Macaca mulatta: one gene and its partners. The protein of the gene in region 3 purifies or fractionates together with the protein of the main gene of each other region. This does not show direct contact. Links are inferred from orthologs where the notes say so. Each region holds a gene or a part of one and is shown on either strand. Other genes may lie near its edges. The genes, in order: RPP25, POP4, RPP40 and RPP30.

The links.
Region 1: the proteins of RPP40 (region 3) and RPP25 purify together in Homo sapiens (affinity purification with mass spectrometry; 3 studies listed by BioGRID and IntAct, counting the BioPlex papers as one, with this or other methods). This does not show direct contact. The link is inferred for Macaca mulatta from reciprocal best matches to the Homo sapiens genes RPP40 and RPP25.
Region 2: the proteins of RPP40 (region 3) and POP4 purify together in Homo sapiens (affinity purification with mass spectrometry; 3 studies listed by BioGRID and IntAct, counting the BioPlex papers as one, with this or other methods). This does not show direct contact. The link is inferred for Macaca mulatta from reciprocal best matches to the Homo sapiens genes RPP40 and POP4.
Region 4: the proteins of RPP40 (region 3) and RPP30 purify together in Homo sapiens (affinity purification with mass spectrometry; 3 studies listed by BioGRID and IntAct, counting the BioPlex papers as one, with this or other methods). This does not show direct contact. The link is inferred for Macaca mulatta from reciprocal best matches to the Homo sapiens genes RPP40 and RPP30.

Annotation. Positions count from the first base shown.
Region 1 is NC_133412.1:52,906,338-52,913,247, reverse strand, and holds RPP25 (ribonuclease P protein subunit p25), read left to right. Parts: upstream 1-4,035; 5' UTR 4,036-4,105; coding exon 4,106-4,705; 3' UTR 4,706-4,900; downstream 4,901-6,910. UniProt on the Homo sapiens protein: Component of ribonuclease P, a ribonucleoprotein complex that generates mature tRNA molecules by cleaving their 5'-ends. Also a component of the MRP ribonuclease complex, which cleaves pre-rRNA sequences.
Region 2 is NC_133424.1:40,881,592-40,889,243, reverse strand, and holds part of POP4 (ribonuclease P protein subunit p29), read right to left. Parts: intron 5,869-7,652; coding exon 5,816-5,868; exon of another isoform or gene 5,781-5,815; intron 4,148-5,780; coding exon 3,921-4,147; intron 2,694-3,920; coding exon 2,616-2,693; intron 2,454-2,615; coding exon 2,392-2,453; intron 671-2,391; coding exon 569-670; intron 1-568. UniProt on the Homo sapiens protein: Component of ribonuclease P, a ribonucleoprotein complex that generates mature tRNA molecules by cleaving their 5'-ends.
Region 3 is NC_133409.1:178,223,410-178,231,861, reverse strand, and holds the start of RPP40 (ribonuclease P protein subunit p40), read right to left. Parts: upstream 5,436-8,452; 5' UTR 5,405-5,435; coding exon 5,282-5,404; exon of another isoform or gene 5,212-5,281; intron 3,937-5,211; coding exon 3,792-3,936; intron 2,509-3,791; coding exon 2,440-2,508; intron 1,784-2,439; coding exon 1,688-1,783; intron 714-1,687; coding exon 588-713; intron 1-587. UniProt on the Homo sapiens protein: Component of ribonuclease P, a ribonucleoprotein complex that generates mature tRNA molecules by cleaving their 5'-ends. Also a component of the MRP ribonuclease complex, which cleaves pre-rRNA sequences.
Region 4 is NC_133414.1:102,895,147-102,903,433, reverse strand, and holds the start of RPP30 (ribonuclease P protein subunit p30), read right to left. Parts: upstream 5,382-8,287; 5' UTR 5,369-5,381; coding exon 5,287-5,368; intron 2,496-5,286; coding exon 2,440-2,495; intron 1,801-2,439; coding exon 1,744-1,800; intron 1,336-1,743; coding exon 1,261-1,335; intron 1-1,260. UniProt on the Homo sapiens protein: Component of ribonuclease P, a ribonucleoprotein complex that generates mature tRNA molecules by cleaving their 5'-ends. Also a component of the MRP ribonuclease complex, which cleaves pre-rRNA sequences.

The DNA of each region.
Region 1 (6,910 bases), on a different chromosome or scaffold from region 3:
AATGGGTGAACCTGGGAGGCGGAGCTTGCAGTGAGTGGAGATCCTGCCACTGCACTCCAGCCTGGGCAACAGAGCCAGACTCCATCACCAAAAAAAAAAAAAAAAAAAAGAGCTCCTCATCCTCCTCCTGCAACAGGAGACAGAGGAGAGGGGCTGTACCAGGGATCCCCCTTCAGTGTGAACATGAGAGATTTGTCCACAGGAAGTAGGGTGTGCTGCTGGAAAGGTCCCAGGGAACCTTAACAGAGATGTATTGGCTAGGCTTGGGCTCTAGTCTAGCTACACCAACACCTCCTCCCAGGGTGAAAGGAGTCTAGTTTGCCACTCACCAGGTCACTGTGAGTGAAAACAGCTATTATTTCTGAGGCTTTCCCAATTTCTTTTCCTTTTCACCAGTTTTCTTTCCCCAATCCCTTTAAATTTTTTTAAAATTTATTTTAATCACAAATAATATATGAAAAATAGTAACAGCTAACATTCCCCAAGAACTTAGCAGCCAAGGTTCCAAGGTGGCTGTCTCATAATCACTCTGTGAGGTAGATTACTATAATTAGCCCCATTTTACAGATGACAAAGCCAAGGCAAATGGGTTAAGTAAATTGTCCCAGGTCACACAGAGGCAGAAAGAAGCTAATAGAAAATGAAGCTTCAGGGTCAGTAGCTCATTTATACAAGCTGCTACAAGACTCTGTATTTAACTTTGTATTCATATTTAATAGTTCTTTTCTTAAAGAAGGTAATGAAAACTTAATGCGGTAACAAGAGGTCAGTGTGCTGTTTTCTTGCAGATATTTTAAAAATACATTTACATCTATAAACACACACGGAAATAAATGCTCCCCTACTGTGTGTATGGCTGGCACCCAGCTCCTTTAACACAACATCTTGACTGATTCCACTTTTCTAACCATTGTGTGGTGTGCACCACTGATGCTCTACTTTATTTACCAGCCTTTCTGAAGTTGAGCCCTCTGCTCCCCTCCTCTGACTCTGGCCGCTCACTGGGGTTCCCACCCTCTTCACAGCTTTTTCTCCCTTCGCCATGTCCCCTACGCTGTTTCCCCCCTCATACAGCCCCTTTGCCTGTGTCCTCACTACTTCATGCCCCAATTCCTTCCTGCCTCCCGCGTTTCTCCTCTCTCCTGGCCACCCCGCCCAGTCCTTCACCGCCCACCCTGTTTCCCCCGCTCGCTGCCCGCTCTCTCCCACTCCAGCTTCCTCCGGGCCTGCTACATTACCCTAATTCACAGCACCCCATCCTTCCGCCCTCACTCCCCTCATCTCCCGCCCCCACCCTCCGCACCCCTCCGCGGCCAGGAGGGAGCGCACAGCCGGCGGGCTGCGACGCGCGCTGACAGTGTAATGAATGGCTTCAGCTGTAATTAGCGACCCCGCGGCTAATCACGATGTACATTTACATTTTAAGTGCTGCAGAGGGAGCGGGGGAAGAGGAGGGGACCGGCAGGAGGGGATGCGGGCCTTTTCGGCGTTCTCCCTTCACCGACTGTGGAGAGCAGTGAATGCGAGTGTTCTACAGCAGTTTAGGAGGGTGGGGGCGGTGGGGTCATAGAGGGCCAACCTGGCCGGACGCAGAACCGCCCTGTCCTCGCCCTACACAAACCCGAAGCTCCCAGGACTCTTCCTCCAAATGACAGAACTCCGCCTAATCCCTTCCAAGTGATCTTGCTGCCCAAGCTTGCATAGCCCCGGGGACGGAGAGCTCTCTTCTTCCACAACCAGCCCGTTCCAACGTTACTTCCAGCCTTTCGGGGACTTTTTCTCAGGGCCTGACCTTACACAGCCCTCGGCTCTCCACGCCCCGCTACGCGCTGCGGACAGTCTTTGTATCTTCCCAAGGCTGCTGTGCCTCTAGCCCCCACCGCTGTGTGGGGCCCACGGAGACTGGAGCGAGACCGAAGTCCTGGTTCGGAGCATACCCCGAGGGTTCCTGATTCCACCAGGAGACGGGGTCAGCCATTCACACACTGGGGTGCCAAGGTCCAGGCGCCGCAGCCACTCCCAAGAAGTGGTAAGGGGGTAAACCCCGGTTCTGAACAGCAGGGACTGAGAGCTGCTGCTGATGCCCAGGAGGTGAGAACAGCGGGAGGAGACAGAATATAGTCTGGCAGCCTCATCTCCAACTGAGGCCCAGCAATCCTAGGCACCGTCATGCCCCCAGCACTTTTCCGGTTGCCTGCCAGCCCCAGCTCTCTGTGTCCCTCCCCGCCACGCCCCGTCACAGTCCCCTGGCTGGGACCAGATCTGCCGACCTCCCTCAGTCCTGACTGCGTGGGGCCGGTGGAAGGAGGACAGGCGAGGCCCGAGGGCAGTTTTAGGGAGGGTAGGGCCCCTTCTCAGACCCCCTCCCTTCCATCAGTAGTCCTGACAGCCCCAATCTCATCTTTCTCTAATGCTTCTCTCACCCGGCAGGAGACCCCGGGCCTCTCCTTCGGTCCCGAGGAGTTTCCAAAGAGAGGCATCCAGTAGCTCTATAATGCCCCCAGGGCTTCAACTCCCCATCTTCCTCCCTTCTTTCTCTCTTTTATTTTTTTAAAGTCTTTCTTTTTCATTTTTGTGGGTACATAATAGGTGTCTATATTTAGAGGGTACATGAGATGTTTTGATACAGGCATGCAATGCATAATAATCACATCATGGAGAATGGGCTTTCCCTCCCTTCTCTTTCTTTTTTATTTAATTAATTAATTTTTTTTTTTTTTTGAGACATAGTTTTACTCTGTCACCCTGGGTGAAGTGCAGTGGCGTGATCTCGGCTCACTGCAGCCTTCAGCTCCCGGGTTCAAGCGCTTCTCCTGCCTCAGCTTCCTGAGCAGCTGGGATTACAGGCGCGCACCACCACACCCAGCTGATTTTTGTATGTTTAATGGAGACGGGTTTTCACCATGTTGGCCAGGCTGGTCTCGAACTCCTGACCTCAAGTAATCCGCCCGCCTCGGCCTCTCAAAGTGCTGAGATTACAGGTGTGAGACACCGAGCCCGGCCCCTCCCTTCTCTTTCTTAAAACCTGCGTTCACCCAGCCTCCGTTCGAAAAAAGACCCACTGGATCTCAAGGGGCCAAGGTTGCCTGATCGAATTTCGCCTGGGAGGAAAGGGGCGGCCACGTTGGCATGGCATCGTGCCTGGCTCACCCTAAAGCGCGCAGCCCTAAGGGTGGGCTCTCGGGCATAGGTGGAGCGAGCCTACCGCCTTTTCAGAAGAGGTCTCGCCCGCTTCCTCACGCGCCTCGGGGAACAGCTTGGCCCAAAGCCTCACTCCTCACGTCCCAGGGGTGGACGGGGGTCCGGGAGCCTCGAGCTCTAGACAGGCGTGGCGAGGCTGAAGCCTGGGTCTCCCGCGCCCCGCGAGGACCACGCCGCGACGTAGTCGCCCGAGGGGAGGCGCGGAGTGGAGCCGCAGCCAGCTCCTCCCGCACTCTGCTGACCGCGCACTAGCTGTCCTTGAGGCAAGAATACTTGGGAGCGGAAAAAAGGTGGGGGTGTTCCCCAGCGGGGAGAGGAGGGGCGAGGCCCCAGCAAGCCTCTCGGAAATTTCTCCCTGGGAGGGGACGAGGGGCGGCCTTCAACTGCAACGGGGAAGGGCTAGGATACCGGGTTTGAATTGGTGTTTGCACCGCAAGCGCAGCTTTTATTTAGGCTGCCGGTTTGTGAGGGTTGGCTCGGAGAGCGCTGATGGCGATTGTCGTGGAACTTCACCTTCACCTGCCCATGCGCCCCGCAGCGCGCCCGCTCCCACGCCCGCTCCCACGCCCGCGTAGCTGAGGACCCGGACTTGCCACGAAAGGCTGGTGAGGCTGGGGCCCGGGCGGGCCGGGCCGGGCCGGGCCGGGTCAGGGGAGGGGCCTGGCGGCAGGGGCGGGGCCTCAGCTAAAGGCGCGGAGCACCGGGCGCCGAGAGCGCGGAGTAGAGCGGCGCCCGCTCGAGAGAAGTGGGGCCGAGATCGCGCCGTCCCAACCCGCCCGCCGGCGTCCGAGCTGCTTCCGCGCCCTTACCCCTGCGGGCCCTTGCAGGGCGAGACCGGCGGCCATGCAGCCCCGGGGTTGAGGCCGCCCCATGGCAAAGCCGGCGGTCCCGGCGACGACGGCGCATGGAGAACTTCCGTAAGGTGCGCTCCGAAGAGGCGCCAGCGGGGGGCGGGGCCGAGGGGGGCGGCCCGGGCTCTGGCCCCTTCGCAGACCTGGCGCCGGGCGCGGTGCACATGCGGGTCAAGGAAGGCAGCAAGATCCGGAACCTGATGGCCTTCGCCACCGCCAGCATGGCGCAGCCAGCCACGCGCGCCATCGTCTTCAGCGGCTGCGGCCGGGCCACCACCAAAACCGTCACGTGCGCCGAGATCCTCAAGCGCCGCCTGGCGGGCCTGCACCAGGTCACGCGGCTGCGCTACCGGAGCGTGCGCGAGGTGTGGCAGAGCCTCCCGCCTGGGCCCACGCAGGGTCAGACGCCTGGCGAGCCGGTCGCTAGTCTCAGCGTACTTAAGAACGTGCCCAGCCTCGCCATCCTACTTTCCAAGGACGCGCTGGATCCGCGACAGCCCGGCTACCAGCCCCCGAACCCCGATCCTGGTCCGTCGTCCCCGCCAGCCGCGCCAACGTCCAAGAGGAGCCTAGGGGAACCCGCAGCTGGAGAAGGCTCCGCGAAGCGATCGCAACCCGAGCCAGGGGCTGCGGACGAGGATCGGACGGCCTAAAACTCCGGACTGTGGGCGGGATCTTCCGCCAGCGCCTCCACCCTCAAATGCACCTCCAGCCTTTCACTCCTCGGTCCTCCGGAACCCACAACCTGGACACAGCTCCTCAAGGCAGGTAGCATGGACCTTAAGGCGACAAGAGAGGGGCCCCAGAAGTGGCAGGAGAGGATCCCCGACGACCTTAGGGAAACTTCGTGCGATGATTGCTGCTTATGCCCGTGTTGCCTGAAGACACGGAACTTCACCTTCACCTTTTCTGGGACCTTCTTTGGGGGAGAATGGTGGACAGTGGGATTCTGGAAACTTGATTGGGACCCCCAAGGGTTAAAGCCACCCAGCATTCACGAAGGGCACCTGGAGTGCGGAAGCCGAGAAGAGTTATTGGAATCACCCCCACCGTTGACAGAGAAGGCAGGGGGTGAGACTTGACTGCTTGAGGGTAGGAGAGTCTGAGATGTGGGGGTCCTATTCCACTCCCCGCCCTGGGACAGTTTTCCTTTCTAGTTTTCCTTCCCCTGCTTCAGAGGAGCATCTCTGAGGGTTCTAGCTCTTTTAACACCCCTTTTCCCCCTGCTGGCCCAGAGGGAGACCCAGGACTGAACTCTCCAGGCCTCCTCCCCCAGCCCTGCAACTGGAGTCTTGCTTCCAATAAAACAAGCACAAAAATGGCTCTGTCCCCAAATTTTTTTCTAACCACCCGCCTGTGCAGAGACAGCTCTGGCCTGGCCCTTTGTGTCTCCCCTCCCCTCCAGCCTTGCGTCCTGATCCTTTGGAGTCTTCAGGGTCAGGCATAGAGACTGGACAGCTTCAAAATGGTGCAAGGCACTTCCCAGTCCCTGGCTTTTTCCTCTCTCCTCCCCCACTCTGCCCTCCCGGGCTGGCCCTGGCTTCAGGGGCTGTGGCCCATGGGGGGCCCATGCTCCCCTGTACATCACCACTAAGGGAAAGGGAGTGGCACATTGCTTTTCTGGGAGGGAAAGGAAGGAGTGGAAGGAGAGCATGGATGAACTCTCCTGGAGGTCACTGCAAAGGGTGGCAGACCCTGCTGAGGTCCCTGAACCTGCAGCCTCCAGACAATAAACTGAACCTTACCCAGAAGGCTGGCACAAAGCCCCCAGCTCCGTGAGTAGGATCTCCCCTTCGCTGCCCTCTCTCTGAGAAAGGACAGCACACCCTTGGGAAAAGGGGAGGAGAGAGACTGAGCGCAAATCCACTGCTGGAAATTACTATTCAGCAGAGAAGCTGGGACTTGGGCTGTGAATCACTGCAGGCCTCCTGATAAGCTGCTGCCTCCAGCCCTGCACAGCTGTCTGTTGAGAGATAACAGCCTCATAAGCTTCTCTGCCCAACTCTAAGCCAGCTGGGGGGTGGGGGTGGTGCTGTGTGCTGGAAGAGCTCTGGTGAGTTGGGGGTGGGATACAGCCCCAGGATCTCAGAAGTAGATCTCATCCCATGCAACTCAGCAGCACCCCTGGAAAGGGGGAGATGCGGAAGAATGTATTTATAAGTCATTTTGCTGGCAGAACCCTGAAATAAATCCTGCTGGTGACAAGAGATACGTTCTGTGGCTGACTGGAGGGGCTCTTTAGGGAGGTTTCCCTCTCCTGCAGTTATCTCTGCTTGAGCTTTGGATCAGTGAGCTTTGTCATCCAGACTTTTTCCCTCGTTGCTCTCCCCAAATTCCTGCTCTTGATGAGTCCCTGGAGAGGGCCAAGGGGTTTGGTTGTGCTTGTCTGACCCTCTCAGGGGTGGCCCAGGAAGCATGGAAAGAATGTAAACTGTCCTGACAAGATGCCCTAGCTTCTCCTGGACTTCAGCATCTAAAGGCAGTGATAAAACTTGGACAAGGTCCTGCATGGTAGAAGCTTAAGGGAGACTGGTCTTGGTTCTAAAAAGGGGCCAACTTTCCAAGACCACTAGTGACTGATTGCTGGGTTACCAGGACTATGAAAGCAGTGCCTGAGGCCGGGCGTGGTGGTTCATGCCTGTAATCCTGTAATCCCAGCACTTTGGGAGGCCAAGGCGGGTGAATCATGAGGTCAGGAGTTTGAGACCAACCTGGCCAACATGGTGAAACCCCATCTCTACTCTAAATACAAAAAATTAGCCAGGCGTGGTGGTGGACACCTAATCCCAGCTATTCAGGAGGCTAAGGCAGGAGAATCACTTGAACCGGGGGGTGGAGGTTGCAGTGAGCCGAGATGG
Region 2 (7,652 bases), on a different chromosome or scaffold from region 3:
AAGAGCGAGACTGTCTCAAAAAAAAAATAAATAAATAAATAAAGATAAAAAAATTAAAGGAACAAAACCCTCTAACTACAGTTTGTTATCTCTGGATTTGTGAGCAAGGTGGGGTGTAGAAATCCTGGGAGACCCAAAGTATCTGCTAGAGCAATGCTGGCCACCAATGGAACCCAAGTGTTATCACCAAGGACACGGCTCAGAATTTCAGGGACAGGCGCCGCTCCTGTTTCTACCCTGCTGCCTGTTTGGCTACATTCCTCTGGGAGCAGCAGCCTTGGGGCAGGTGGAGGCCCTCTCCTGGCACCCAAACAGACCCAGGTCCCCTGAGGCACGGCCAAGATCTTTCCTCCGCTTGGCCATTTCTGGCTGGGGCCGCTGGCTGCACTGACACACGCCTCTTGGGGGCGCCACGGGAGCAGACGGTGGTCTCTGCAGGCTTTAATGCAGGTTCAGTAAGTATCTGCAATCAGCGCTCAAACCAAACCCTTGGAGCCCCGAGGAAAAGGCTAACGCAACAGCTGGAAGCCACAGCCCACACGCAACGCGCTCGGAAACTCCTACATACCTTTCAGGCGGTCTTCTTTGGTGATAATTTTGAAAATGTGCTTTGTTTCCTGTAGAAGGATTCCTGTAATACCCACATAAGAGGGGCACTTGGATTTTGTCACTGTGAAGAAAAAGGACAGTTCCAGGCTCAGGCCTCTGTGGTGCTGGGGGAACCACAGACAAGCAGGCCTCAGGGGTCCGGGGTGCTGGTCCCACCCTCTGAGCTAGCAGACGAAGGAAGACAGCACCCAGGGCGTGGGGGCTCAACAGCTGGGCACTGACGTAGCCAACGAGAACCCAGGCTTCCCCTGGGGCTCTGCAGTCTCTGGACTGTCCTATGAGGTGTCCTTCGGAGAGTCTGTGGCCACAGCAGTCTTGGGCAGGATTCTGGAGTCAAAGGTCACACATGCGCCCAGCACCATCAGGACCCACGGGCTGGCTGCTCTGATGCAGCCAGGACTCCCTTGCAGGATCTGCACAAACACCACCATGCACTGCCCAGGATGCTGGCTGGAACGTGAGTCCTGCTGCAGAGCTGCCCAGCAGCCAGCACTGTGAGACGAGCCACCATCACAAGCAGCAGCCCCTCCCTCGTCCTGACCCAAGCCTCAGTGTAGGTGACAGAGTCACCAAGCAGCTGCAGTATGCCTGCACTGTCCTCGGGAGATGCCAGGGACATAGTATGGAAAGAGGCAGTCCCGGATCCTGCTCTCACGGAGCCCAGGTTCTAGCAAGGCAGGGTGATGCATGGTGAACCACACCATTCTACTTTCTGACAGCGACGAGTGCTATGAAGAGTAGGGACAGGGCAATGAGTGTGGAGGGTCATGGTTTGCAATGGTAGACCCTCAGGGGAGTGGCATTGGAGCAGGGCTGAACAATCGGAAGTCGGTCTGTGCACACACAGGAGAACTCCCTGGCAGAGGTAAGGAGCAGAGGCGAAGCCCTGAGGCAGGGCGGGAGGAAGGCAGTGTGGGAGGCCTGCTGCCCCAGGGAGCGGGGAGGCCTTAGACCACAGCAAGGAGGCAGGTTTACTCCCATACGATGGGACGCTGCCGGAAGACTTGAAGCACGGAAGGAACGTGCTCTGATTCCTATATAATCGGCACTCCGGCTCCCTGGTGCGGGGAGGAGCTGTGTCTGAGGTAATCTGGGGAATGACAGTGGCTGAATTTAGGTAGTAGGATGTTCTGAAGGATTAGAGGAGGGAATTAGGAAAGAAGAAACATAGACACTATTTCGGTTTTTGGCCTGAACAACCAGCATAAATAACTGAGTAATTAACTGAGATGGAAAAGAGCAGGAGGGGTTGCTGTGAGAACTGGGGGTAGCTTTGGCTATGTAAAGTCTGAGATGCCCCCTGAACATCCAGGTGGCTGTGTCAAGTGGGCAGCTGGATGCCTGAGCCTGGAGTTCAGGGGACGGGCCTACGCTGGAGACGTCACCTTGGGGACTGTCAGGTGTAGCTGACATTTGAAACCACAGCATTGGATGAAAGGGATTCTGTGTTCAAGATTCCAGGCCATGGGTGAGTGCCCACAGCTACTGTGCCCTTTAGGGTACCAACAGGGGTCCCTGTGTGTAGGTACACGGAGGGGAGGTACACGGAGGGGAAGGTACACGGAGACCACTTAGGGTGTGTCCAGCAAATGGCCAGACCGGCTAAGACAGCCAGTGAGAAGCATCTCCCACCCTTAGTGCGGGGATGATGGTGACTGGGGCCCATCTCAGGGAATCCACACGGTAAGGAGCGTGTCCAACAGAACACACGCCCTGGGTCTCCACAGAGCGACAGTGTGGACCTCCGGATGGCCATGTGCTACACGCTCTTAGGTAAATTACCTGAAATAATAGCCCCGTGAAGATCTGCCTTTAACAGTTTGGCCTGAATCATCTGTGGCTGCCTGCAAGGTAAACAGAAGCCCTTGATTTACACCATGATAAAAGGTTCCAAAAGAAGCAACTAGGTCTTCAACCGCAGCCAGGCTGGCTCCTGAAGCTGCATTTACAATGATCAGAGACTTGAGATCCACCCCAAAGAGCGAAGCTTCAGGAATGCAACTTACGTGTCTGGCTTTAGCCCATTGCACAGGTCCTTGATGTACTGTTTCCAGAGTTCATGGAGAGGGAGGAAAAGACTGTATCTGTGGCAGAGTCAGAAACGGAAAAAGTTAGACAACATGAGCTTGGGATGACAATGTCCAAATAGCACAGAGCTTGGCTCGATGCCAACAACTGTGGCCTGGGATCATTAGGAACTACGTGCAAATCCTAGGATGAGCAATTGAGCTGGTAACAGAGACCAAGAACCTTCACCTCTCTAACTTCAGTTTCCTCATTGGTGGGACCCCACCAGCCCAGAGCGGTGTCCACTTGGACTTCTTTTCATGAGAGAGAAATAAACGTGAGTCTTGTTGAAGCTACTGTTATTGTGAGGTTTTCTGTTACGTGAAATTGAACCTAGTAAGCCCCCAATAAAGCAGGGGTTGCTGGTTGTCACGCAGGTCCTCATGTGAGGCAGCAGGCTGGTCTGGAAGGTGGGCAAGCAAGTGGTGGGGAGAAGAAGAGGGGAGCAGGGGCGAGGACCCCAACAGCTTTCCTCTGGGCCGTTATCTCCAGTCTTCATGCCTTGTGGGGAATCCGTTACCATGAAGCCTTAGGTTAGAGAAATGAGGACCTTAAGCTCAAACCCAACTGGGGTTCCACCCGGGAAGCAAATCCTGGGAGGCAGCAGCCCCTTCTCCACCTGAGGCCCAGCTGATCTCCTGAGTGGGGCCGGGGACAGCGTGGCATACTTTAAGCGTCTTCTAGAATGTGGGAGGCTATTTGGCTGTCGATCTCCAAGCAAAAGCCTACAGACAGCCCTAGGACACACACACTCAGACCCGTCGCCAAGGAGGGATGGAGGGTTGGCTGGAGGAAGGCATCCTCCCACAGGACAGGACAGTGATGCATTCCTTTGGGAAACTTCTGAAACGTGTGGGCAACATCTTGCTTTGGCAATGAAACCCCAGTGGGTGACTGTCTGGCGCTATTAAAAGCTACAAAGTGATACACACTAAAAACATATCAGTTCCTCTTTTCTGTCTAACAAAGCCGAGGGACAAACAGCCTGTTGCCATGGGCAACAGATGTACTTGGACGGGTCTTACTCGTGAAGGTGACGAGGCAGGCCAGACAATGAGTCCTGTCTCACCCGCCTCGCTGAACACAGCCCAGATTGGTAAAGGAAGGCTGCCCTCTTGTGGCAGACAACAGAGAGGCGCCCTTAGCTTAGGTGGAGCCAGGCTGCCTCCCCAGCGACTCAGTCAAGTCCACACACCCAGAAGGGTAAGCACCGCGGGCAGAAAGAAGGGAGGAGCTCAGGTTACCTCTGCTGCTCTGGTTTAATATAAAAGAGCCGCAGCTCCCTCCTTTGCCTGGCAGAGAGGCCTTTGGCTTTCTTCTTCTTCTTCTCCTTGCGCTTGTGGCGGGTGAAGTACTCCAGGACCACGGCCTTGCGCTGCAGCTGGTCCTCGCGGGCCTGCGGGCTCATGCCGGGTGTGCTGCGCTTCAGGAAGGCCCTCACGAAGGCCTCGGCCCGCTGTGCTCCTGGAGGCTGCAGGCGGACAAGGGGGTGCAGCGCTCACTGCTCTGGTCTGGGCAGCCCAGGATCCCAGGCATCCCGCCCGCAGCTACTGGGAGAGCAGATGGGGCCCATCCCTCCACCCACTGAGGCTCACACCCCGCTCATCTGCCATGTGTCTGCTACCCACAGTTGCCGAGATGTAAGTCACACTCATACACAAATTCATGACCGTTTGTCACACACAACAGCATGTCAAACGCTCACTTCCTGCTCTGGCCCTGCTTTTCTGAGGTTATTCTGCTGAGGACTAAAACCTTTCTATCTGGAAGAATACTTCAGTCACTCTTGGCAGAAGAGAAAGCTTGAGAAATGTGTAACAAAGATATTCAACCAGGCATGACCAGATGAAACTAAGTGAGCTCAGAGTAGCACTAAGCTATGGAGGAACTGATTCTAACACTACAGAAAACAGCAAAACTAGGGCTCCAGGGTCAGCCAAGCCTCAGGGGGTAGGGACCCTGACACTGTGCCCTTAGGACAATACTCCTTAACTGGGCTTCCAGCAATGTGGGCATGGTGTGGGCTACTCTCCAAGAGGTCCGCTCCTGCCCCGCAGACCATCACTTGGAGGAAAGTACCGTCAAGAGCATCTCAGGCCCCAGACTCTCTCTCTCTCCAAAGGGCGTCACTGAGAGCCGGGCGTCAACTTACCATGAATGAGCGTAGGCTCTTAGAGAGGACTTCTGAAAAAATGACTGTCATAATTGTGTGCAATTCTCAAACAAACAGACAAAAACCTCCAAGCTCACTACCTCTCAAGTTGGAGTTCCAATAATGGATTCCTCATTTGGTGGCAGATGCCACTGCCCTGGCGCCTGCCACAGCCCTGGGCAGTTCTCTCTCCTGAGGGCCTGTCTCCTGGCTGGGCTGTTTCCTGAGCTTTTTACACTAGCCAGGTGCCAAATGCTAAGACTGAGGCTGACAGACTGATGCTGATCTGTCATTAGTAACCCAGCCCTCCCTCTGTGGGAGAGCAATGGGAAGATAGGGTACACATAGTCTTCGAGGGAGCTCACAGTATGATGGTGGGAACTCTGTTCAGTTTTGCACCTGTAGATGCTAACTAAAAATTAATTCACTCTAATCATTGTGACTATAATAGGACAATAATCTGATTCTCTTAAATACCTGAGTGGCTCGTCTTTCATGGAGAAGCAAAATAAAGGCATACTGGTCTTTCAAAATCTTGCTTTCAAGGTAATGCTCTCACTATGAGCTACAAGAGGAACTTTTGTGAAACTGACAAAGCAGGCTGAGGCATCCAGATATAATCTGTAAATTTCACTTATGATATGTAATTGCACACCTTCTGCAGAAGTGCAGAGGGCACAGTGACAAGGTTGAATGATGCTGCTCACCACATGGGCACAGCCTGGTGTCCCCAACATAGTGGAAATGATAAAAGGTTAAGAAAAGCCTCATTTTACCAAACGTGACTTTGGCACAACAGAAAAGGAGGCCGGCAAGTGGGAACAGGTCATCAGAACTACAGACTTTGATCCAGCCTTAGATGTCTGCCAGAAAAATGAGGAGTACAATGTGGGTATCGACATCTCAACCAGTGACAGGGGCTCAGAAGCTACTGAGCCATCTTTGCCATCACCTGTGTTGCTCCTGGACCTCCTGCCAAGAACTGACCTGGACATCAGAGTCTTTCGCCTCTTTCTGAGACAATGCATGATAGATCACACCTAGAGGATTAAAAACAAGAAATGATCAATTCTTGTTGGGTATGGCTGTAAGACCCAAGACTTCTCTAACTATGAAAATAATTACACCGCTGGATGCATGGCTCACACCTGTAGTCCTAGCACTTTGGGAGGCCAAGGCGGGTGGATCACCCAAGGTCAGGAGTTCGAGACCAGCTTGGCCAACGTGGTGAAACCCCGTCTCTACTAAAAATACAAAAATTAGCCGGAGGTGGTGGCTCACACCTGTATTCCCAGCTACATGGGAGACTGAGGCAAAAGAATCGCTGGAACCTGGGAGGTGGAGGCTGCAATGAGCCGAGATCGTGCCATTGCACTCTAGCCTGGGTGACAGAGACTCTGTCTCCAAAAAAAAAAAGTAAAAGAACTACACTTATAACATATGCTTATTCATATTCAGAGATAGGAGATCAGGTTGGTAAGAAGAGCAAGCTTTCTTGGATGCCTCTTATCCCACCCTCTGGCCACATCTATGCTAGAAGTTTCAAGCTCATGGTTTAAAAAGAGTGCTTCTCAAAATTTAACGTGTGGAAAAATCTCTGGGATCTTATTAAAATGCAGATTATTGGTCTCCTACCCTAGATCCTGAGTGTCTAACATATTCCCAGATGCTACTGCAGGTCAGGGGATCACATTTTGAGTTGCACTGGTTTAAAGTATCCCAAGTTAGAAGCCCGAGCCCTTGCTAACGAGGTAACTCATTTAAAAGTTATATGATATAGCTGTCTAGGATGTAGATGGTTAGAAATAGGTTTTGTTAACTGTAAGATGTTTAAAAAGATTCTTCACATTTTAATATGAAATTATAATGTATCATATAATCAAGGGTGTCCTGAACTGATGAAATACAACAGTTCTTCCTTTAAACTCAAAATATACATCAGTCAATAAAGTTTCAACCTCTAAAACAAATTCCACACTTCTGTTTCTTAATTTATTGAAAGAAGAAAACCATGGCACTGGAGACACAGTACAGGTGTGAATGGAGTAAGAATGGGACTACTAAGGCCTGGTTTATGAGCTAAATAGCTAGAAAATGTAATTTACACTATACTCTGTAAATTTAATTCCAGCTCTCTTGTACTTCCCTGAGAATGTCTGATGCAAGGTGGTTACAAGTTTTTTTTCGTTCTTGTTTGTTTTGATATTGGGTCTTTCTCTGTTGCCCAGGCTGGAGTGCAGTGGCACAATCATAGCTCACTGCAACTTCGACCTCCTGGTTTCAAGTGATCCTCCCACCTCAGTCTCCTGAGTAGCTGGGACCACAGGTGTGTGCCACCACACCTGGCTTTTTTTTTTTTTTCTTTCCAGGTTTTGTAGAGATGGGGTCTCACTATGTTGCTGCCCAAGCTGGTCTTCAACTCTTGACCTCAAGTGATCTCCCTGCCTCAGCCTCCCAAAGGACTATAGTCGTGTCCCACCACACCCAGCCAGGTATGTTTGATCAAGCAAACCAATGTGGCTGCAAGTTTTATATACAGCATCTAGTTCTCCCTCAAGCGGAAGTTGGGGATTATAAACTGTAGAGAGCAACTTGAGGGGCCTGATAACTTTGCTTCACCTGTTACAGGTGCTTAGTAACAGACTTGGAAGTCTTTCTGCAACAATACACATCTAACAATTACTGAACACTCATTACTCGCCAGAAACCTCATTAAAAGGTAGACATATTTTTTCCCATCACACTTGTGCCCATGAGCAAATTGAAGCTCCGACATGCTGAGACAATCTACTTGATCATATAGGTACAAAGTGGCAGAGGTGAA
Region 3 (8,452 bases):
CTATCCTCCAAAAGAGAGTACTACACCCTAATTCCTGATGACTTGATCCATTATGATCTTGGCCAAAGATACACTTCTGAAAGCAGCAACATACATGGCCGTTTTTGGCAGATGACACTGTGTGGTGAATAGCAAACTTCGAACTAAATTTAGTGTCCTAATCAATTAAAAGTTATTACAAATTAATCTGACATTTAATGGTAGGTCTGAGTTAGTGCCCTGTGATAATAAATAAGCAGATTGTGTATATAACTATAAAAACATTATAGTCAAGACTGTTCAAGGTAAGCTGGAGAGAGGAAAGGGGAGAAATAGATAAAATTTAGCTGCTCTAAAGCCACTCTCAAGATCTCTGGATTTATGTATAACCCAAAAAGACTCAGGCAGAAAGGCCTGCATGCCTAGACAATCCTGAACAATGGTTTGCAGAGATGTCAGAAGGGCTAATTTCCTTAATACTATTTTTATATATATATACAATATTCCTTGACTATAAGAGTGAATCACCATTCAATCCTCCATTACTCCTCTTTAATTAACAATTAATTTCAAAATCACTGTATGATTACATAATTGTTTCTTCATACCTGTATTATGCCAAGCCAAAAGAAAATCAAATTTCAATGGTTTCTTTTCTTTGAAGGACCAAGATACTCTTTCATACTTCTTAGAATCCAAGTTTAAGGATAATTCCATCAAATCAATTGAAACAACTTTAAAAATGAAAAAAAGAATATATATTTCATTCATATACATACAGCTTATACTATGGAAAAAGTGTTGTATTTTTAAAAACCAGAATTTTGGGAAATTTTATGGATAGTAAAATTATTTTATTCTTCTTCCACTCCCTTTGGTTTGCCAAATAAAAAAGATCCCTTTGGTGGGCACTTCTAACCTTGAGAGCTAACAGAAACAGACATTTTAAATTTATATATTTCCTAGGTCAAAGACCAAGGGCAGAGGACCTTGAGAGGTCAGGTTTCATCTACTAATGGATGTGGCAGCCTTAGCTATTGATGTTTGAGCCAGACACTGTCAGCAAAAGATCTCTTCACTCCTGGGTGAATTTCTACTAGTAATCATAAAGACCTGGGGAAGCCAAAGGAAATTCTTCATTATAATAAGCAGACTCCTATCTTGGGTTCAGTACTTCGAATTTTTTTTTTTTTTTGAGATGGAGTCTCACTCTGTCACCAGGCTGAAGTGCACTGATTGTGATCTTGGCTCACTGCAACCTCCTCCTCCTGGGTTCAAGCGATTCTCCTGCCTCAGCCTCCCGAGTAGCTGGGAGTACAGGCGCCTGCCACGACGCCCGGCTAATTTTTGTATTTTTAGCAGAGACAGGGTTTCTCCATGTTGGCCAGGATGGTCTCAATCTCTTGCCCTCATGATCCGCCTGCCTAGGCTTCCCAAATTACTTTGAATGTTTAACCCAAAACATATATATTTAATTGACCAGTCCAAGTCTACGATCTTTATCAAACGCATCTACAGCTGAAAAGAAATGAACTTAAAAGCATCATCCTATCCTCTATGAAGCTTAAGTCAGAAGTTTGGTAGATTTTTTTAAAAAGCCACATTTTTCTGAACAAAGAGATTAGAGGCAATTCAAACATTTAAATTTAAATTACCACAAGAAGATTACAGACTTCTTAGAAACAGATGGAGCACACATGATACTTACTAAATTTCATAATTTTTCTACCAGAAAACTGAGATGGATGACCCTGAAGTCCAGTTTCTTCATAAGTGTCTTTATCCAGTGACAAAATTAATTTCCCTACAAATCAAATAATAACTTGCGTAAGAGATACCAAAAATAGAACTTATGCTGTCTGATTAAAAGAAAGCAAAGCAAATTGAGCAGTTAGATATTGATGTACCAAACTGCATACAAGGATCTTATTTATATGACAAGAATATTTATATGTATACATGTCTTATAACACAGATATTATTTATACATTATACATCCAAGGATATTATTCATAATAATGAAATTAGAAATAATCTGAATTTCTACTAAAGATGAAATAAATAAGTCATGGTATACTCATTCTTTTGAATATCTTCTTCTTTTTTTTTTAGACAGAGTCTCACTCTGTCACCCAGGCTGGAGTGCAGTGGCACGATCTTGGCTCACTGCACCCTCCGCCTCCTGGGTTCAAGTGATTATCCTGCCTCAGCCTCCCAAGCTGGGACTACAGGCATGCGCCACTACGCTGGCTAATTTTTGTATTTTTAGTAGAGGCAGGGTTTCACCATGTTGGCCAAGCAGGTCTTGAACTCCTGACCTCAGGTGATCCATCTGCTTTGGCATCCCAAAGTGCAGGGATTATAGGCGTGAGCCACCGTGCCTGGCTTTTTTTTTTTTTTTTTTTACAGTAGGCATTTTTTTTTTTAACAATTAAAGAAAGATGAAAAAATAAGCGTTACCATTTGGTAGCAGGGCAACTGTATTATCTTCATCAATATTTGTATTGCATGTTAGTGCATAGCAAGAACCTGTAAGAGAAAGTCCAGAGGAAAAATTTAAAAGAATAAATTACACCTGCAAGATGTTAGTGGATTATTTTCACAAGATAACCTGTCTTCCAGGTAATTAAAGGTCAGTTTCTACCACTGCTCCAGTTCATTCAATAAACCAAACATCTGCCAAAGGTAAGCTGGAGCATGCAGAAGACCAAGCTCCAGCTAGTTCACTCCCCGACCAAGGGCCTATTTGTGCAAGTGTACTATCATCAAGCAAAAAATTGACTCAGAATGGAATGTGACCTTTGGGGATGCATGGAGAGGGGTACAAAGTAGAATTGTAGATAAACATACACATCTTAGAGGCAGAGTTCCGGGTTAAGATTCAAAAGCTACTCAACCTCTCCAAGCCTCAGTTTCCTCACCTGTTAAATGAGGATCATAGGCCTGCTTCATAACATTGTTGCAAGGGTTAAATTTGGTAAGATATTGAACAGTGCCTGCTACAGCTAGTGTCCATGTAATTGACAGAGTGGTGTCAGACCTCAAAATAGATGAAAGGAATAATGGTGATGAGACCTGACAAGACGCCCAGCTCGTAAGTAGCCCCAGCAGTGTCAGAATGAGAGGAGCTACTGGTAACTAGAATTCTTCGTATCTTCACTGGAGAGGACACATGTGGGGGCTAGCACAAGATAAGCATGTGGCCACTGTACAGGTGACTCACGTATGTGGGTGGAATCCCTAAATACCCTTTGAAATAGTTTCAAACAAACGGCTCCCAGGAAACAACTGAAACAAACCAGTCCAACCCAGCAGATGTGGGTGGAAATGGGGTGCGCAGAGAGGGGTTATGGCTACAAAATCTAAGCAGAGGACACTGGACCCCAACGAGCACTCTGCTCTGTGAACAGTAGCTGTGGCTGCATCTGGAGACCAACCCTCTGAGGCAGCTGCTGTGGGGCTGCTCACAGCACAGGGTCTTCGCAGCCACTTCCTCGAAAGCAGTGCATCTGAACACAGACTGCAAGTCTGTCCTCTCCATCAATCCTCATTTTAAGGGGACGGATACCCTCATGTTACAACGTCCCCATCCAACACTTGTGGGCAATTGCAATCAGAAACCACCACCTAAAGAGGGCACAAGAAAGAACAGGATGAGAACAGGGGGCGGGGGGTAGTGCATGTGTGCACCTGACCACACAGACTATCCCACAGGCCCTGTTCAAAACAAAATAACAGCCCCAGCATTGTGATGTGGTCTACCTACACTTCCTCATCTTGCCTTGTTTAAAGCCATTTCAGGTTTTTCTTACCTTTCTTTATAAAGGTACTGATGAATTCGGGTGTAATTAATTCATGAAGAGGTAAATTCTTCACAAAGTAATAGGGTCCAGTTTGCATGACCAGATTTTTCAGTTCTTCCGATAGTATCCCACATTCAGGAATGAGAAATGAAACCTATTGGAATGTGTAATACAAACAAGGTCTTACTTCCATGAAGATGAACACCCAGGTTTTTAGGAATGAAATAAGATCATGAAAGTTGTTATTTCTCCACGAGTTTCACCGGAATATAAAAACACAGGCAACAAAACTCTCACGTTAACTTACCTATCTCAGGCAAAGAGAAATCTGACTACTCAAGTTTTTCATTTCTGCATTCAAACGTACAGCACAGGAAGGGGACTGAATAGAATACTTTTAATGGAAAACTCTTGCTTGCATTTTATCTTTTGCAAATTAGCAATACTGTATATTTTATGTCCTATTCCTTTCACCATTTTCAAGGAAATACAGTATAATTGAATATCCCTTGATTTGTTTACCCTGGTGTTATCCTGGAAGGAAATGAACTGTCTGCCGGGGCATAAGGAATTAATTTATGGATATCCAATTACTAAGAAGCTGTGTGCAAGCAATGGCGCTCCTGTATGTTTCCAATTTCGAGAGAGAAAAGTGCAACAGGCGAGTTAAGGTATACATCCCTGGCTGCTGTGATGAGCTTTCCATCCATAATAGGTGTTAAAAACAGGACAGGCTTCAAATGTTGCCACACTGTAAAAGTCATCACTGTCCCAAGGCTCAAACACTAGCCTGTCCTGACTGATCAGGTCACCACTTAAATCTCTGAGACACTGCTCAGTCAAACCTGAGTTATTAAGCTGAACCATTTAAAGTGTAAAATGTTTAATCCCCCATTATAAGGTTGGTTTCTTGAAGTTTCTAGATATCACATTAGTTCCCACAACCAATTTAGAAAATCAGGTAGCTTCCTGGGCCGAGCCTAGGCAGAATGCTGCGGAGAAATCCACAGGTACGCAGGTGGTGCAGGTGGGAGAGAGATCCAAGCTGGGGAGAGAGGCGGTGGTGGGGACGAGGCGGGAGACCCGCCCTGATTTCGGGAAAAAGAGAGGTGCACGTGGCTGCCCGGCAGCTACACATCGCAGCCGTCACACCGTCGTAACTCTCCGGTCCCGGCCCTAAACCTCGAATCCCTCCCTGGACCCCCTCCCAGTTAGGCGGGTTGACCCGAGTGAGCAGCCAGAACGCCCTGGACACAGCTCCCTCCACACTGGGTGCCGCCCCCACGCCCTACCTATCCTGGGAGTTGTAGTCCTGCAGCCCTGCAGACCACTGGCCTACAGTAGTTAAGAGACTACAACTTCCAGCAAGCCAGGCGAGGGCCCCCGCCCCTCCGCGCACCGCCGGCGGCCCCGCCCCGCGAAGCCTAGCACTCTCCCTAAACCTCTCTCGCACGCAGCGATTGAGCACGGCCCGAAAAGCCGAGGACAACCGGACTCACCCTGTAGTTATAGTAGTGCGTCTGCACAAGATGCCGGTGGCGCGACTTGTGGTTGCCGAAGTTGGATTTCTCGCAAACCAGTAAGTGCCGCGGCGCCTCCCGAAGCCGGCGCAGCGTGGCCATGCGCTCCTGGGTTCCTGGTCCTCCCGGCCTTCGCTGGCAGGGCAGGCCCCGCCCCTTCCCCGCCCCGCCCCGCCCCTTCCCTCCGGCCGCGTACCCGCCGCTGTGCGCCCCTGGTGGCGGTGGAGTAGGGCTGGAGGCGCCGGGCGGCTGAGACGTTCTTACACCCCACGCAGCAGGCAGCTCCCTGGTGGATGTCTGAAAATGTAAATTCACTGCCTCAAGTGGAAATATCCAGTCGCTGGGAACCTGGCTCTTGCCTTTTCAACGCCACCTTTCCTCCGTCCTCGCCATCCCTCGGAATTGCCCTAAACCCTCTATGGGCCCCGCCTCGGAGCGCCCCTGGGACCCCGGCCTGGCGCCGGCACATACCTCGGTCAGGTCCTTCAGAGGGACCGCTTCCTGCCACCCATATGAAAGGAAAACATCGCATGGAAAGGCCCAGTTCCTTTAGTGTGTGGTCAAGAAATGTAGCCGCACAGTTAAGTAACCCCCTAAGGTGCTTTGGGGGTCCACACCCAGCTGCTTTTCTGACTTCTCACGCTGTTTGCTTCACAGGACTCTGTTACCCACTGGGGACCTCTTGGCCATTATTAACACAGGCCAACAGGACTAAAGGTTTGCCTCCGCCCTTCCCAAAACATCAGGGAGGTTTGTGCGGGACGGTAAAGCACAATTTTTGCCTTACAATAGGACTCCTTTGAAACTACTATTGATTTCCCTTTTCAGTAGCCTTCAGAACCGCTTTTAACGATGTGGTGTTTCTGGGGGTTATAGTGATAATTCTCCTAAGTCATTTTTCCATTTAGTTTTTCTGTCACGGGCTTGGTGCGGTTAAGAGACTGCGGCTCCCAGCATGCGGTACGTTACTGATTCAGGGCAAAATCAAGTATGTTACTACATGCTTCTCAAACTAGAGAAGGCAGTCCACCCACTTTGGCCTCCCAGAGTGCTGGGATTACAGGTGTGAGTCACCACACTGGGTTGCAGTTAGTATTTGCGATGTTAGAAACTAAAGTGCTGGTAAACCTTGGAAAGAAAAAGCTTGTGGTCTCTGAGAGCTTCAAATTTAATCTTGGCCTCATTCCCTAATCACATCGGAAGAAGAGAATATGTGAAAAATGGAAGTGATCAAAGGACGATGGGGTCCCAGGAGAGGGAAATCTCATGCCTTCTGATCTATTCACAGCTTTGACCTGCAGACCTTAGATATGGGAGGAATAGACTAAAAACAAACTGTCACTGTTGTTACTGTTTTGGAGATGGGGTCTCACTCTATAGCTCAGGATGGAGTGCAGTCTCAGTTCACTGCGACCTCTGCTTCCCAGGTTCAAGTGATCTTCCCACCTTAGCCTCCTGAGTATCTGGGACTACAGGTGTGTGCCACCACACCCAGCTAATTTTTGTATTTTTTGTAGAGATTGGGTCTCTCTATGTTTCCCAGGCTGGTCTTGAACTCCTGGACTCAAGTGATCATCCACCTCAGCCTCCAAAAGTGCTGGGATTAGAGGCACGAGCCACTGCATCTGGGAAAGCAAATTTCTTATTTTGCAGTTTGGCCTTGGGGCCTGAGTGCCAGGCTATGATTGTCTGTTTCCTCTTTGGAGTGGGGAAATGTGTGAGTTGAAGCACCAGTCACATACACACATATCTATATGCATTTCTGTACAACCCAAGAGATCCAACTTTAATAGGGGGAAAAGGAAATCAGAATGTAGAGGCGGCCTGCTGTTTACCAGTAACTTGTAATCAACATGTCATTGAGTCCCATCTGCAATGGGTGTGTGTATGAGTTAGCTATTGCTGCATAACAAACCATCCCAAAACTTAATTAGCTTATAATTGAGCTGGTTAGCAATTTAGGCTGGGCTCAGCTAGGCCATTCCTCTGGTCTCAGCTCAGCTCCATGTGTGTGGTGTGTGTAGTGTGTGTGTGTTTTGCTCTGCTTCTGGGGGTGAGCTGGCTGTCAACTGGGGTACCTTGGTTCTCCTGCTTATGGTATCCCTTCCTCCAGCAGGCTAACATGGGCTTGTTCTCATGGAGATGAAAGCATTCTGAAAGAAAAAGCAGAAGCATTCAAGATCTTTTGAGCCTAACCCTGAAACTAGCACACTGTCATACTCTCTGCATTCTGCTGGCCAGAGTAAATAAGGCCAGCCCAGATACAAGACTTGGGGAAACAAATTCTGTCTGTTTATGGGAGCAGCTATAAAATCTCATTGCAAAGGTCATAGATAGGGAAGTATGAAGAATTGTTCTTATTTTTTCAATCAGTATCATTATGCCTTTTCTTGCAGATGAGGTTTACCTAATTGTTCCAAATCAAATTCAAAACCTTGAAGTTACTGACTAGGTTGTAACTCAGTAGTATCTACTATACTTGACTCCAAAGCCCAGACACCTCTATAGACCACAGTACTCATACATCTCCCCTATTCCTTCAAGATTCTGGAGAGTGACACTTCTGTAAATGCCCATCTAGGGCTCTTCACTTATACCCATTGGGTATAATTCCCTCCAGAGAAAGCTGAACTGTCTTGGAAGAACTTAAAATAACTTAGGGAAACAGCTGAGGGCTGAGTTTAGAAATCAAGGCTCATATTTTTTATTTCTAATTATAGGGGAAATTTGAAAACACATATAGTGCACTCCATATGTTTGCAAATTCTTTTCGTCCATTTTTAGTATTTGTAGGCTATTTATGATTTTCAAAGCAAGCTAAATCAAACGGTGCCTGAAACAACCTCTTACTCTGAAAAGCAAGCAACATAAAGATAGATCTGCTGAGAAGACATTTCCACCTGCTGCAATTTAGACAAACAGCTGACTGTGTATTGAAGCAGTCCTTTGATTTTCACAGGGCAAAGCTGTTTCCAAGACCCCAAACTGAGGAACTGCCATGGGGCACACATGGAAATCACACACAGCTAATGCATCCCTCACTCTGAACCAGTGGTCCACATCCATGGCTGCACATTAAAATCACCTGGGGAGCTTTTAAAATTCCCAAAACCCAAGTTACAACAGACCTATTAAGTTGGATTCCCTGGA
Region 4 (8,287 bases), on a different chromosome or scaffold from region 3:
TAATTGGGATCACTCTTCTGAAGGCCACATCTTTTTTTTTGAAATGAAGTCTGGCTCTGTTGCCCAGGTTAGAGTGCACTGGTGTGATCTCACTGCAACCTCTGCCTCTCTGGCTCAAGCGATTCTCCTGCCTCAGACTCTGGAGTAGCTGGGATTGTAGGTGCCCACCACCACGCCCTGCTAATTTTTGGATTTTTAGTAGAGATGGGGTTTCACCACGTTCGCCAGGCTGGTCTTTAACTCCTGACCTCAAGTGATCTGCCCACCTAGGCCTCCCAAAATGTTGGGATTATGGGCGTGAGCCACCGTGCACATCTTTTTTGACAGACTCTTTTGAAACTCTCACAGTAACTCATCAGGATGCTCCCAAACCTGCTTGTTTGTATGGTCCATCTCAGGAAATGGTACCATTACCTACCTGGCTGCTCAGGCCACTCCCTCAGGCCTAGGGAGTAATCATCCTACATCCAATTAACCAACAAATCCTTTCAGTTCTCCCTTCTGGATGCCTCTTAAGTCCCCTCCCTAACTCTCTCTAATCCATTATCTGTAATTCAAACCTCATAATTTCACTCCCTTAGTTAACACCTTCAAGGGCTTCCAACTGCTCTTGGAATCCTGACCCAAGTTTATATCTCTAACCTCATCCCATGTAACTGGCTCGCTAGGCTTAGCCCTATTGTTTGGTTTCACTTCCCAGAAAATACCATGTTTTCCTTAGCTTCAGGACCTATGCATAATCCATCCTATCTGGGAACACCAGCTCCCTGCTTGTCACCTATATAACATTTACTGACTCTTCCGTCTCCCAGCTTGAATATCAACTTACTCAGGTTACATACTCCCGGAGCATCCTTTATTTACCACTTCCTTACCTTGGAACATTCCTTACATTTGTAATTATTATTTGTTCAGTGCTTGTCTTGCCAAGTAAACTCTAAGCTTTCTAAGTTCAAGGATTGTGCTCATATTATTCATGGCAATACCCCCCAGCACCCACCTCAAGTCTGGTGCACATGAGTTCAGAATAACAGTTGCCAAGGGATTCTTTAATTGTGGTATCACTACATATGTGCCATGAGTAAATAGAACAGACATATTACACTGTGTGAATTCTGAGGACAAGGAGAGCAGGCAGGTGTCATGGTTTAGGGGGGGCGAGGGAAAATGTAAAAGGGGGAAGACAAAGTGCAACATTGTTCAACATTAATCAATACAACTTACAAGGCCAAAAGGAGAGAAGAAAATTAATTAACTTACCAAAACATTGCAGTGAGATGGATCCGAGACAATAATTGTCAATCTAGTTAAAATTTTAATTGGTCTTGATTTTCCCTATTTAAAAAAAAACATGATGTCAAAAAGCACAAAAGACAACGATTGATTTTCCTGTTTACCAGTGGAAAGTACTCATTAAAAGGTACTGGCTATAAGGGATAGTGAAGATCAGTAAAACCCAGTCCTTGTTCTCTATGAATTTACAATACAGACACAGAAAGGGATGTATGTATCTTAAACTACATAACGAGATAATTTTAAAGTTGTAGGACTTCAGGAAAGAAGATCATCAAAGCAGTATTGAACTGATAGTAAAAGAATGTTTCCTGAAGAGCTGAGCCTTGAGGAAAATGTAAGACTGGTACTCAGAGTAAGGTGCAGCTCAAGTTAGAGAATACACACATAATTAGGTAACTTTTAACTGAATAAATAGATACTATGTTTCTTAAGCAACAAAACACCTACCTGTACAATCGGTAAAGTTGTGAAGAGTTCAGAAACAGCTATTGGTTTTTCAATTTCCTACAACAAATGATAAATAGTTACCGCAGATTGAATACATCAATAGCACAAGGCATAATGGAAAAATTAGGAGGGGTTCTCAGAAAAAAAATACGCATTTATTTTTAAAAGAAAGCAAGGTGATTTCTGGTATTCAAAAAGACTTTTTAAAATTATTTTTAAAAAGAAAGCTAAACAGAGAAGCAACTGTAAACATCAGTGAATAGGAAGAATGAAAACTAATTTTTAGACTGAAATAATCTACAGGATACAGTTGTTGGCCTGAAGAGAAATATACATACTTACTAGTAATGTTTAAGAGAGAAATTAGTTAATAAGTCCACGACAATAAAATAAAAAGGACTAAATATTTTGAGTACAGTCCAGCCAATAACAATGCACTTTTTGAACAGTGAAAGTAACTTAATTTCAAATCAACTTTAGGAATCCTGAACACTATATCATAGTATCTCACAAAAATCTTCATTGTTTATATAAATATGCATCAGTTCAACTGTTAACATATAAAAATAGAAAAGGAATAGTGCACAAAGGAGTGCACTTAAGAAATATTCTAATCTGTAGCTTCCAAATTACCAATATAAACAGAATTAAAAATACCTATTTATGAACTTATTAACTTCAGAAATATTACTTTACCTGTTTCTTTTCCTTAAAGTCAACGATATGATTGATAGCAACAACTGAATAGCCAACTGAAAAAGAAAAATTGAACACTTTTGTTAAATATAACAACCTCTCCTTCCTGTAACACAGGTCCATCCTAAGTCTAGATGTCAAGAGTAGGAGGCCATTTAAGGAGTGGTTATGAATGTGAACTCTAGTGTCAGTCTGCCTGATTTAAAGTCTACGCACTACCACTTATAAGTTACTTAATGTGAAGTTTCAGGTTCTTCATATGTCAAATAGTGAAAATAACAACACTTACTTCATACACCTCTCATGAAATTTAAATAATACACACGAGGTGTTTGAGAACAGTGCCTGGCACATAGGTCTTTGTTTAACCATTATGAATTATTATTAAAATGATACTAAAGACTCTTAACTTTGTGCTTCTCCTTTTCAACTGTCATTCTCTTTCATGTCCCTGTATTCATTTTCATCCCATGAAGTTCCTACTTTATCACTGTCACTTTTATTCTCATTCTTTTGCTTTTTGTCCTTTTACTTCCTTCAGAGACTCCTTTCCTAGAGAGAAATGGAGTGATAACTCCCTCACACCACTGCCGCCCACTTCCCGTTTGAAGCTGCACACCATCGACAGACTGGGAGCTCCTTGAGGTCAAGGGCTTGCTTTATTACCCTCATCAGTTAGCACTGTTCTGGACCTTTGGGCTACCAAAAAAAAATCTAAAAATCATGATTCTCATCTTTAATTTTTAAAAATACCAATGGGGATGAAAGGATATTAATATTAAAATACATATCAATGCCAAACTCTCAACAGTTTGTCCAACTTCCTTCTTCCCTTCCTCCCTCAAGTATTTACTGAGCATCCATTACTTGACAAGCCCTAAACTGGTGTTGAGCATACAGGATAAATAATACAATCCTTCTCCACAAGAAATTTACAGCCCAGTCTGTTGGAGAACTAAGGCAAATAAGGCAATTAAGCGAGTCATTGTATATAAATACATTTTTTTATAAGTAAGTTTTCTATGGAAGTATATAGCACAATGAAACCTGGTGTAGGGGTCACAAAGCCTCCCTGGAGAAAGTCACCCTTAAAAACAAAAAAATCACATGTATGCCTGTACCTTGGGCTTCACCTTGCACCCAGTTAGTCAAATCAACCAGTCACACCTTCTCCCTATTCTTCTTTACCACACTCCCAAATCTGCTCTAAACTTCCTTGTTATACCCATTTGGGATATCCTTTTGGCTACTAAACAATGTCCCTACCATTCTACAGAAATGTCAACTAGGATCTGTTTCTCCACAAAACTTTTTCCTAGACTACTCCTCATCTGGCAGCTTAGGAGTACTTACTTCCCTAATCAGGCTTTAAGGTATTTTAATTTACGCAGTGTATTTCTGAAGCTTATTATTGGTTTCTTATATCACATCAGAAACTAAGAACCAGGGCTCTGTCTTCCCTATTCTTTGAAAATGTCCACTATTTATTTCCAGACTCATCAAATAGCAGTCCTTTGTCTGACTTGTAAGTTGAGGCAACTTTGTCATATGCCATGAATTCCATTTAATTTATAAAAAAATAACCACTAACAATGTACATAATTACCACATCTCTTTCAAGTGTATTTTAAACTGTGGGAAATTCTCTAAAGAAATCATTATAACTTTTCTTTTTTGTATTTTTTTTAATGTGTTCAGTTTATTCCACAAGCATTAACTGAGTAACTGCCATGCATTAGTGCTTGCAAAGTGAATATGTTAAGCACAGTAAATAAAAGGATAAGACATGGCAATTCTCTTAAGAAGCTCATGATTTATTTAAAAATGGGATGGCATCAGGAAAAGCCTATTGAGGAGGTAATAATTGCGACGAGCTACACCCAGGAAAATTTATTTTACAGGAGCAAAGAACATTAGCGCTAAATGGCCCAGATCATCTTGTCTACTTTCCTCTTCGTGCTGATGAGCAAAGTACCACAGAGATAACATTCATTTAGTGGCAGCAGTGGAAAGGCAAAGTCATTTCGCCAAGGGTACTTCATAAAGAGGACAATTTAAAAAATGGTGTGATTCATTTTGCCAAGAAGTGGTTGTCATTTCTAGCACCACCTCTGAACAGTATCAGTAATCAGAACTCACAATGAGCTGAAAACTGTCTCTGAGGAGCAGATGTTACTGCACGAACCTCTTGATTCTTTTTAATATCTCTATCCCCACACTTTACAGTAGTCTAAGGAATACAGAACCCACGACTAACTCCAATAGTTAAAACAGGTTCTAGTCTCTCAAGGCTTTCGCTTCCCTTCGATTCGGGCCATGCTGTCCTCCTCCACCTCCACTCCACCGTGTATGTCCCCACCTACCCTCTCTCTGTCTGGATAATATTGTTCCAACACTCCCGCATCCTCCTCCTTCTCTGAGCCTCCACGGCGCTTCCTGTCCGTGCCCCAAATTCCAGCATTTGTTTAGATACTGTCGTGAGAGTTAGGAAGGGCTGATAGTAACTTAGAAGCTTAGAAGATTGTACACTTGGAGTCCAGCTCCGGTTTCAGTCATCTATCAGCTGTAGGTCCCTACGCGAATCCCTCGCCCTCGTTGGGTGTCTCCGTTCCCTCATTGCAGGAAAGGAGCTGAACAAGGTAACAACCTTGTTCAGTTTTCCGCGCCAGGAATCAGACCTACACCTCGGCGGGCATCAGCCTCCAGGGACATTCCAGGGACATCCCAGAGACTCTGGAAGACCTGACAGAGACTCATCAGGAAACAGTTCCTCCCAAGAGGGTCCCGATGGTCAGGGTGGCATGAGGTTGGGCAGGCGCTGCGGCCCGCGAAGCCGGGGCAACTCACGGTGAGCCGCTGTCTCCACAAGTCCGCGCAGAGCCTTCAGGTCAGAACCCGCTCGCACGTCCAAGTCTGCAAACACCGCCATGCTGAAGTCCCATGACCACCCGCGCGCGCCAGTCTGCGCAGCCGCTGAGCCCGCCCCTCAGGCATGCTGGGAGCTGTAGTTAACCTGCGCAGTCCGTCTCTACCTCCAGTTGACTAGGGATTCGGAGAAACTTACTTTGCCTTCAACTACCACCAGAATTTGTGTGTTGAAATCAACAGCTTCATTTCAGTCCCTCTTTGTCTTCTTCTGAATGACAATGTTCGGTTCCCCCTGGAGGGGTTCCAATTCCCCACTATTCAGTACTCCTATAAAATAGTGTAGAAATGAATTCGTTCAACATTCACGCCCACGGTATCTATGTAGCGCTGCTCATGAATCAGAGAATTCTTCTAATAGGTGAATGCTATTTAAAGAGTCCTAAAGAACACGTTTTCCTTTCCTTTCCCTAAAGTCCATTCCGTTGTTTACAATGGACTTTCCGGGAAGAAGGCATTTGTGTATGACTGACTCTAGGACATCAAAAGAGAACTACCCCAAGACGAGGGTACTTTTACCCAATCAGAACTGTTGATGTCAAAGACCGCTAATCTCTGTTGCAGTCAACACCTTCAACCACAAGATGGCAGGGCTCGCTCGAGGACGAGCGGTTACAGCCAACATTGATTTAGCCAAAGACACGTTTGAAAAGGGAGGTGCAAAATTGAGATGTTTTACACTTTTCCAGCTGAGAAATGTACAAGGTGACGCATATCCCACATATCTGATGTTTCCACTTTTTTCCGACTTAGTGTAAATGATCTATTGAGGATTAATAGCAAATTATACTACAAAAGTGTGACGATAGTTTACATCAGTGCTCTCAAACCACCTGTGATAAAGGACCAGTTTCTCCCTCCTTCTCCCCTACCTCCAAATTCTTCACGAACCAGGATGTGGTCCTTTATGCATCACCGGTAAGCAGCCTGGCCTCATGGGAATCACAAATTTGACAGCACTCGAACTGCCCTATACCTGGCTGAATAGAGTCTGCTGATCAGGAGCTCGGATATCAGGACAATGCCAAAGTACTGTAAACGTTCTAAACATCTTCACTTTCTGTTTGTTTGTTTTAATAACGTGAGCACAGCAACAACAATCACAGAATTAGAGGCTCGGTCATTTGACCTGGGGAGTGTCCCGGTTGGTGGCCTGCTGAGTTTTCGTTTCGTTGTTTTGTTTTGTTTTTAGAGAGAGCACCTCGTTATTGACCAGGATGGACTCTAACGCAAGCAGTCCTCTCTCCTAGCTGTGATTCACACGCGCCCACTCCCGTGCCCCACCCATCAATTTCTCTATTTATTGATCACAGACAGTTCACAGACAGTCTCTCGTCTATGGACCACACCTTAATTAGTACTCCTTTATGCGATTTTCTTGTCGTTCTCAGAAGGCAGGAGGGATCTGCTCCATGCAGTAGCATGCAATTCTCCTCTTGGTTAACTTTTGTAAAGAAGAGATATTTTGCCTTTTCCAGTACTTGATATTTCCTAAGTAGGAGTAGAAGAGAGTATTACTTCTGCAAATAGAATAAGGTCATATGAAACAAACCCTTTGTTTTTCATGAGAATGTCGAATGTTAATTTTGCAGGGTCACACAGGCATCTTCACCTATGACCATAACAATCTAGATTGGTCAGAAATATGACCAATGTGTGGTGAAGGTGAATAAGGTGATAGTTCAATTATTTTTTCATTTTTAGTTGATACATTGTAATTATACGTATTTATAGGGTACAATTTCATGTTCTGATATATGTATATGTTGTATAATGAACAAATCAAGGTAATTAGCATAGTCATCACCTCATGTATTTTTGGTGATAACATTAAAAAAACTCTCTTCTAGCTGTTTTGTGATATATAAACAATACCTTACTGTTAACCATTGTCACCTTCTGTGCAATACAACATCAGAACTTATTCGTCCTATCTACCTTTGTACCTGTTGAGCAACCTCTCCCCATCCTCCCTCCCCCAATCCCTCCCTAGTCTGTTAACCATTGTTCTACTATTTACTTTCTAGACTTCTATCAAATTAATTTTTTTTCAGATTTCACATACGAGTGGGATTACACAGTATTTGTCCTTCTGTGTCTAGCTTATTTCACTGAAGATAGTATCATCCATGTTATCCCAAATGACAGGATTTCATACTTTTTAAATGGCTTAATAGTATGTCATTATGTGTATACTACATTTTCTTTATCCATTCGTTCGTTGTCAGACATGGAGGTTGATTCCAAATATTGGCTATTGTGAATAGCGTTGCAGTAAACATGGAGTGCAGATATCTCTTTGACATACTGATTTCACTCTCTTTGGATTATACACCCAGTAGTGCAACTTTCAGGTTATATGAGAGTTCTATTTTTAATTTTTTTAGGAACATCTACTGTTTTTCATAATGGCTATACTAGTTTACATTTCCACCAACAGTAAGTGTTCCTTTTTCTCTACATCCTCACCACCACGTATTTTCATTTATTGTTTTGATAATAGTCATTGTAACTGGAGTGAGGTGGTATCTCATTGTGGTTTTGATTTGCATTTCCTTTATGATTAGTGAGGCTGATGATTTTTTGATTTTTTCATATACCTGTTGGCCATTTGTATGACTTCTTTTGAGAAATGCCTATTAAAGTCTTATCAACCCATCACTTAGGTATTAAGCCCAGCATGCATTAGCTATTTATCCTGATGCTCTTCCTCCCCCTGCAACCCCAACAGGTCCCAGTGTGTGTTGTTTCCCTCCCTGGTCCATGTGTTATCATTGCTTAGCTCCCACTTACAAGTGAGAACACACAGTATTTAGTTTTCTGTTCCTGTGTTAGTTTGCTGAGGATAATAGCTTGCAGCTCCATCCATGTCCCTGCAAAGAACATGATCTCATTACATTTTATGGCTGCATAGTATCCTGTG